Sus scrofa: one gene and its partner. The protein of the gene in region 2 interacts with the protein of the main gene of each other region in a biochemical or structural test. Links are inferred from orthologs where the notes say so. Each region holds a gene or a part of one and is shown on either strand. Other genes may lie near its edges. The genes, in order: S100A4 and AREG.

Region 1 (4,032 bases), on a different chromosome or scaffold from region 2:
AAACTCCTCCCGTGCGTGACACCCTCTGCCTCCCTCTTGGTCCTTTCAGTCCATCCCCGCCCCCGGACGGACCTGACTCCCCTCCCCATTCCATTGCTACCTCATCCAGATCTTTCTCCAGGGAAGTGCCTGTGGGGTGCGGTTGGGGGACCCAGCACCTCCTTTGGGTGTTGGCTTGTTCTTCCTTCCAGACACCCCCAGCTCCTGTCCTGGGCTTCACTCAGGAGGGTGGAGAGCCCTTTGGGGAGTGGAAGGGCAGTCTGAGCTGTCCCTAGCACTGAGCGTGGGGTCCCCTCCCCGTGTTGGGCAGCCACATGCCAGGGCACTTTCCCACCACCCCTAGTCCCCTTTCCTCTGTTCTGGCTTCCCCAGAGACCACCGGCACCCCAGGCCCCAGGCACTGACTGCCCCTTCCTCCAGCTCCCTAAAACTCAAGTGTCCACCCCACAGAGGCCCCTCCCTGTGCCCACTGGGGCTCTCCCATGGTCCCCCCGCCTCCCCGTGCCCGCCCTGGGCAGGAAGCTGGGTTTCCAGGCTGGGCTGGTGGAGGGGGCCGGCAGCGTTTACCGCATCTGACCACGATAGGAGGGAGGGCTGTCTCCTGCTCTCCCCCAGCCCCTGCATGGGCAGGGCCCCGCCAGGGTATAAATAGGTCAGGCTGCTGGGCTTCCCCACTCTTCCTCTCGCCCCAACCCTCTCTCCTCTGCGCTTCCTCTCTCTTGGCCTAGTGAGTTGTGGTCGGCCTGGTGAGTTGTGGTTGCCTGACTGGCACACGAGGGGGGGTCAGGCTGAGGCTCGGTGCAGGAGAAGCAGAGGCTGGTGGGCACCAGATGTGCTAAGTGGGTCGGGATATGAGATTCTGATGGGAAGGCTCTTGGGTGGTGTGTGTGTGTGTTTGTGCGTGCGTGTGTGTGCACGTGCATGTGCATGCCAGAGAGACGCAAAAATTAAAAGTAAGAGCGAGGAGCAGGTGGCTGATGGGAGCTGTCGCAGCGGTACTGGGATGCTGGGGCTTGCCTGTGTGGTGGCTGTAGTAGGTTTTGGGATGCTTGTGACCGGTGGGTGTGCACATTGGCTCATGTTTGCTGCGTTGCACAAGCCAGTGTATGCACACTCGGGCATGGGAAGCACAGTGAAGGCAGTAGGCGATGGCAGGCTTTTGTTTCCTTGTGTCCTGGGAGCTTCTGCCCTGCACACAGCAGCCCAGCTCAAGGGAGGGTGGCCTCCCCATCCCTCCCCTGCATCCGCGTGCGCCTCTGCCACCTCATCCTGCCCCTCCCTATGCAGTGCCGGGCCGCTGGTTTTTTCCGCTACAGGCCCCTGGGCAGATCTCCAGCAGTGTCGCCCAACCCAGCGCTGTGAGAGAGAGAATGGGCCAGGGTGGGGCTGCTGGGGGCTGAGCCTGGGAGTGAAGGGCCCGAGGGAGGAGGGGTGGAGAAAGGCTCTGGTTAAACGGACTGCCTGCAACCCGGAACCTGCCATCCTGGCCCGCAGGTGTTCACTGCCCCAAGCACGAACTTCCCAAGTGTGCACAGCCACCCCGCCAGGAGCCGAGCCCCACCTTTCAGGGCTCCCTCTTGGGTGGAAGCAGAGTCTCTCCAAGGGCTCCCTGAGGGATGGAGGTGGGGGCATTCTGAATACATAGCTGGGGGCAGGGTTGGGGGGGGGGATAAGGATGTCTCTGTGATCCTGCCCCCAGATCCTGACTGCTGCCATGGCCTACCCCCTGGAGAAGGCCCTCGATGTGATGGTGTCCACCTTCCACAAGTACTCAGGCAAGGAGGGTGACAAGTTCAAGCTCAACAAGTCTGAGCTAAAGGAGTTGCTGACCCGGGAGCTGCCCAGCTTCCTGGGGGTGAGTGATGCTGAGTGGGGCGGAGCGGGGTGGTCTTCAGGACTTCAGGAGCATCAGCAACCGGGGCCTCTCTGGCTGACATGGGCAAGTGGGGGCAGAGAGCTTGCTCTGGCTGCCTAGTGAGCACCCACTGCTCACTTCCTGGCCCCCAGCCGAAAGAGGCACAATGGACCTGGAGGGAAGCTGAAGCTCAGAGATACTAAGTCACTTCCCTAAGTAGTTCGTGTATAAAGCTGAGATCCATGAATCATGATGGTCTGACTCTTGCCATCAATCCAGCTATGAGCCATTTTTAAAAATAAACACTCTATCAAAGTTTCTTTCTTTCCCTCCCTTCCTTCTTTCCTTCCTTCCTTCCTTCCTTCCTTCTTTCTTTCTTTCCTTCTTCCCTTCTTTCTTTCTTCCCTTCTTTCTCTGACCGCACCTGCAGCATGCAGAAGTTCCTAGGCCAGGGATGGAACCTGCGCCACAGCTGTAACCAGAGCCACAGCAGTGACAAGGCTGGATCCTTAACCTGTTGAGCCATGAGGGAACTCTGCCACCTTCTTTTTAAAACTGATGTGTAGTTGATTTTCAACGCTGTGTTAGTTTCAGGTATACAGCAAAATAATTCAGTTGTACATACATGCATATTTTTTCAGATTCTTTTCCATTATAGGTTATGACAAGATATTGCATATAGTTCCCTGTGCTATAGAGTAAATCCCTGTTGCCTTTCCTGTTTCATATATAAAAGTATATATTTGTTAATGCCATACTCCTAATTTGACCCTCTCCCCTATAAACCATTTTTGAGTTTCTCTTTGGCTTGTGAATGTGAAGATACACACATACCTACAGACACACCCCAGCGTAATCACAGTTACCATCTGTATCAACCTTTGTACAATTTATGCATTGCTTTCATGACCACTGTCTAACTGGAGTCTTTTTTTTTTTTTTTTTTTTTTTTTTTTGGTCTTTTTGTCTTTTTGCCATTTCTTGGGCTGCTCCCACGGCATATGGAGGTTCCCAGGCTAGGGGTCGAATTGGAGCCATAGCCACCAGCCTACACCAGAGCCTCAGCAACGCGGGATCCAAGCCGTGTCTGAAACCTATACCACAGGTCACGGCAAAGCTGGATCCTTAACCCACTGAGCAAAGTCAGGGATCGAACCTGCACCCTCATGGTTCCTAGTCGGATTGGTTAACCACTGAGCCATGACGGGAACTCTTCTAACCAGATTCTTAAAATGACCTTGGCAGACGATGTTGTAGTCCCCTTTTCCAGGGGCTTCCAGGTACCCAGACTTCCTCATCTGAAGGGCAGATCTCCTCCACGCCCTCGCCTAGCCCTGAGGGCTGGAGGTTCAAAGCTCCCCCCGGACCCACAGCCTGCCTGTGCCTTCCTGAGGTCCCATCTGGAGCTAGTCTCAGCTCTGCTCCCCCTGCCCCCACCCTGCCCCTCCTGCTTCCAGTTTCTACCCGCAGCCTCTTCCCCCTGCAGAAAAGGACGGATGAAGCTGCTTTCCAGAAGCTGATGAGCAACCTGGACAGCAACAGGGACAACGAGGTGGACTTCCAGGAGTACTGCGTCTTCCTGTCCTGCATCGCCATGATGTGCAACGAGTTTTTTGAAGGCTTCCCTGATAAGCAGCCCCGGAAGAAGTGAGGGCTCCTCGGATGTGGGTGGGGGCCCTGCCAGCTGGGAGGGGGTCTTCCCTGACAGAAAGGGCACAGTGCCTCACCGTGGCTCTTCCTGACCTGATCAAGTTCAATAAAGATTCTGAAAGCTATAAGACTGATGGTCTGAGAGGGTGGGATGGGGCCTGAGGGATATGGGGGGTGTGTGGGTGGGAGGGGTACTGGCAGGTTTGCTGCTGTTTTGTGAAGAGTGGAGAGCAGACTGGTGAAGGTGGGAGAGGGATGCGTGACCGTGCATGGGTATGTGGGACAGACTTGACTCAGGATGGGGCTGAAGGCAGGGAAAGGGACCCCAGAGGCTTGGACCGCCCCAGCTGTAGGATCTCGGCCAGGGCACTCACCCATCCCATCTCCCCAACGTTGCCTCCAGCAGGACCGCAGACTGAAGCTGGGATGGGATGGAAGGTCACATCTGTTCTTGGTTGGGGTCTGGGAAGGAGTGTGGGCGCCCTGGGGATGGTGGGGGAAGGGCTGAGTCACGGGGAGGAAGTCGT
Region 2 (4,434 bases):
TTACAGCGCTTTATCAGATACATTACAAATTATAGAGACAAATACTTACTACGCTAAAGTGTTACAATAGACATTAATCCCATTGGTTAATTTTCACTGTTTCACAATGCGTTGGAACGTTAAGCCCTAGCCATTTTCACTACCAACAATGTGTTTGGCCTTTTGAAATGTTAACAACTTGAAATAGCTTTAAGAGAACCATTTCTAAGTCTTGATGGTCTAATCTCCTCCCTTCCCAAAATAAGAATTATAGACAGACTCCTTCCTCACCTTATAGAAGAGCATAAGCTCCAAAGGCAGATAACATGGAGTATTCAGTAAAACTCTCTCCACCTGCCTCTTCCTCCAGTCACTGTCCCTATGGTATCACCCTCTCTCCCTTCACCAGTTCTGGGAGCCAGAGAGAGGAGGAGGAGCCATGGAAACTAAGATCAGGAAAGAGAGGGCTGTAAGTCTTGCCTATGTAGTGGAGGCTCCTAGGATACTTAGATCTGATTTGCTGATGACCTGTTCTGCCCTCAAACTCCAAAGTAACATGAGGGTAACAAGACTGACCTCTTCCTTTGGTAACTTCCTTTTAAGCAAATGCTTTTTTAAAATGATCAGATAACAGCCAAAGAGAAGAAAACTATGGGTCACATTATTTAACTGACAAATGGGATTTGGGATTAAAGAGTGATTCTATCAATACATAATCCACGCATACTTGTCCTTCTTTTATTATTTCCAGAAGGTGGTATGACTATTATTATTACCAATTTCGCAACACCTTATCCTTAAAGGCTAAGGTCCAATCGTTCCTTTCCCATTACTTCTGTTCCCTTATTTGTGCTAAAAATGCAGTTATTTGGGGGGAAACGGTGGAGGGGAGTGAATATAAAACTTGAGATACAACATAGATAGGACTGGACCCTCATTTGAGGGTCACGTGGCAGGGTATGAAAGAGCATAGTATCTGGAATCAAACAGACTGGAGTCCTCATCCTGGCTCTGGAACACTGGGAAGAATGCTTAACCTTTCTGAGCTTCGGTTCTCACGTCTGTAAATGGATAACAACTCCCACTGAATAATGTTTTGCAAAGATTAGCCTTCCTAGACATAAAACGTTTGTTAGAGCTGCAGACATATAGGATGTGGCCACGAATAGCTCTTTCCATCTCAATTTAGCCAGTGGATCAGGAAAGAGAGGGCAAGAAAGCCACTAGGAGATCGGGGAGTGCTTTTCTTTTGAAGCAGCTTGTCTTATACAAACACACATCTCACTGGCTACATTGTCACCTTACCCTCTACTCACCTCTGACTGAATCATCTACAATATAGCCAGATATGTGCGGTTCGTTATCGTACTCTTCAGCATAGTCATAGTCGCTACCAGAAGGCATTTCGCTAGCAGGGGGAGCCTCACTTCCCGAGGACATCTCACTTCTGGAGGTCACCTCAAATGCCTCAGCACCATGGTCCCCAGAAAATGGTTCTCCTTTCCCAGAGGAGGTGCCGTTGACGTCCAGTCCAGCAGCATAATGGGCTATGGGAACAAGGGCAAAATGGAAGAGAAGATAAAGCAGAATGTCTTTTCTCCCCAGTCAGCAGAGCGCAGGAGCAGCGCGCAGGAGAAATGTTTATCTTTTGATAGCAAAGCAGTTATTGCACATGTGCTATTGTTTATGATTGAGTCACTTTATGAAAGCAACTTCACATTTTTGCCAAGAAGCAAACTCAGCTGTTCCAATGACAGAGCTTCTTTCATTAAGGTTTTCATTTCCATAGAGAATGTACATTAATTCCCACATCAAAAAAAAAAAAAAGAAAGAAAGAAAGAAAGAAACAAAATACTGCAGAAGAGGTAAATCAAGTTGCTACACTTATTTAACAGGTAATATCTAAACATTGCCATGACTTCACATATGAAATGCATTTGTGTTTGTTAGGATGCTACCTGTCCTATTTTAATAAACAGGTTCTAGAAATAAATACCGGGTTTTCTTAACATATGCTCACGTTTAAGAAGACTATGTACAGGAAATGTTAAAAAGTAATGAAAATAGAAATTGATTATAATTCTCCTTATTGCCACTGTTTATTACTGTTCTCACAAAGAGAAGAAACTAGAGATGAAGTTAAGATTTGGGGGCCAGAGTTTCAAGTCCCTGCTTTATCTTTTAGATCTAAACAAAACAGTGTCAAAGTGGTGCTTTTAACTTCTCTCTGGGACGATGCGAAACCCTCTAGAAAGGGAAAAAACAAAAGTACTTGACAGAGGAGATGGAGAATCGAGGCAGAAGGCTGCGCGTCTCCTTCCAGGATTTAACTACTCTACTCCAAAATCTGTGGAAATCACTTCACCTCTGGACGTCGGTTGGTTTCTTTATCGGTCAAGCGAAGGGTTGGCTCACAGGCTCTCTAAGCAGGAGATCCTTCAGCTGGACTAAAGTAAAAGTACAAGGAGTTTCCGGCCCCCTCTTGATGGCCTGGAACATCTAAGATACACCTGCCCACTCCCAGGGAGTAACGTACAGAGGGAGGGACCAAGGTCACCTCCCACCAGACAGAACCAGGGCCGCCAAATGGCGATTTTTTAGAGAATCAGCAGCAAAATTCAAGGAGCGACCGTTTTGCCCCGGCTGGGAGAAGTGCTCAGCAGCTCAGAGCCGGGATGTCCTCACCTGAGCAGAGGATCAAGAGTGACAGCACCACGGGCGCCGGCGGCAGCAGCGGAGCTCTCATTGGTCCCGCGGAGCTGTGGCGTCGCGGTCTCTGGGGCAACTCGGCCGGGAGCTGCGGGCGGGCGGGAGGAGGTGACCGGGGACCAGGGGCGCCGAGCAGCTGTGCTCAGAGGCCCGGCCGGGCTCGGGCGCTGGAGGCAGCGCCTGGAGCTCGCCTCGGGATTCCCTGGGCTCCGGCTCCCGCACAAGGTGTGCGAACATTCCGGAGGCGCGGCGCGCACCAGTGGCTTTATAGGCCGGGCGGGACCCGGGCATCGCCCGTGACGTCACGGTCGCCGCGGAGGGTGGAGGCGGGCGGCCGCCCCAGGACAGGTTACTACCCCAAAACCACAAACGGATGCCAGGCGCCCCACCTCCTCGGAGCGCAGAGAGCCGCTGGGAGGAAGTGAAAATGAAGACCCTTGCTGCCGGCTGGGGAAAAAAAAAAAAAGACCAATTCTTATTTGAGAGCAAGGGTGGAGTTGCAAGCTAATATCTGACATTCAGAAATCCCAAATTTTCAAACTATCTGGAGGAAAAAAAAAAAAAAACCTTCAGATTATGCTTTGGTTGATCTGAATATTACAACAGACAGGGATTAACTAGAAAATTTCCTATTAAAATATAAAATTACTTAAAGCCCAAGAGTGACTTAACAAGGAAAGCCCCACCCCATGTCTTTAATGCGAATAATGACGTTTATTCCATGACTAGAGAGCCATGCCTCCTAAGGAGAAGCTGTTTTGTATACCATGGGCCTGGATCTCAACCCTGGAGATTCCCCTCCACTACTGTGAAGCAGCCTGCATTTCCAATCATCTCCCTCCCCATTTATCCCATTTCTTTATATAACCTAGGGTCCTTGTCAAAATGATAGTTTATTGATCATTAATTTATGTTGTGGAACTGTACACTAAGCATATTACCTACACCAGGTCACTCCAGAACCTTGCTAGGCAAGTATCATTTTTTTCTATGTTTTACAAGAGGGACACCTGTCAGCTTTACCAAGCAAGGAGTACTTTACCCCGCTGGTCATGGCAAAAGCCAGATGGACCTAACTTCGAGTTCCACTGACTCTAAAATCTCTTTCCTCTCTGATAAAGGGATTTAGGCTAAACTTCTCTTTGGAAAGAAAGTTTCTGGGGAGAACAATAGTTAGCCTACAGGAGTAATCTCTACTGGTAGTGTGTTGGCATGAAGGGTAGTGCCCAAGAGTTTGCCTCTGCAATCCCCAGATAAAAGGGCCAGATTTTAGTGCCTATTTAGAATCTAGTAGGACATTTTAATCATGACAAGTAGATAAAATGAGAGGGAGAGAATTGCTTCATTTGACTAAGTTTGATGTATCTACAATTCCAGAACTGGATTTTTCTTGACTTGAGGAAGAGGAAAAAAGCATTATTCTCCTAGTGTTTCTTTGTCCTGAAGATACATATCTCTTCTGTGACTATTCCAGTAAAACAGCTCTTTTAGGAATGCGGGTCACAGTGCCTCTGTCCTAATTCTGGGAAATTTTTTAAAAGTTTATTTTTAAAATAAAATTTTAAATCTATTTTTAATGGTGTATCATAGTAAAGTAGGCTAAATAGCCTGATATGTTTAGTAGGATAAAATAAACAGTCACAAATCACGTCTTCTCACCTACTGGACATTTGTTGAGAGCGTATTTTATGTCATCCACCTGTTTTATTTTTATGCAGGGAGGTATTAAGGAGGGAGATTAAATGA

The links.
Region 1: the proteins of AREG (region 2) and S100A4 form a complex in vitro, tested with the Homo sapiens proteins (2 studies listed by IntAct, with this or other methods). The link is inferred for Sus scrofa from reciprocal best matches to the Homo sapiens genes AREG and S100A4.

The regions. Positions count from the first base shown.
Region 1 is NC_010446.5:96,087,528-96,091,559, forward strand, and holds S100A4 (protein S100-A4), read left to right. Parts: upstream 1-1,714; coding exon 1,715-1,855; intron 1,856-3,341; coding exon 3,342-3,506; downstream 3,507-4,032. UniProt on the Homo sapiens protein: Calcium-binding protein that plays a role in various cellular processes including motility, angiogenesis, cell differentiation, apoptosis, and autophagy.
Region 2 is NC_010450.4:70,416,415-70,420,848, reverse strand, and holds the start of AREG (amphiregulin precursor), read right to left. Parts: upstream 2,915-4,434; 5' UTR 2,726-2,914; coding exon 2,665-2,725; intron 1,527-2,664; coding exon 1,296-1,526; intron 1-1,295.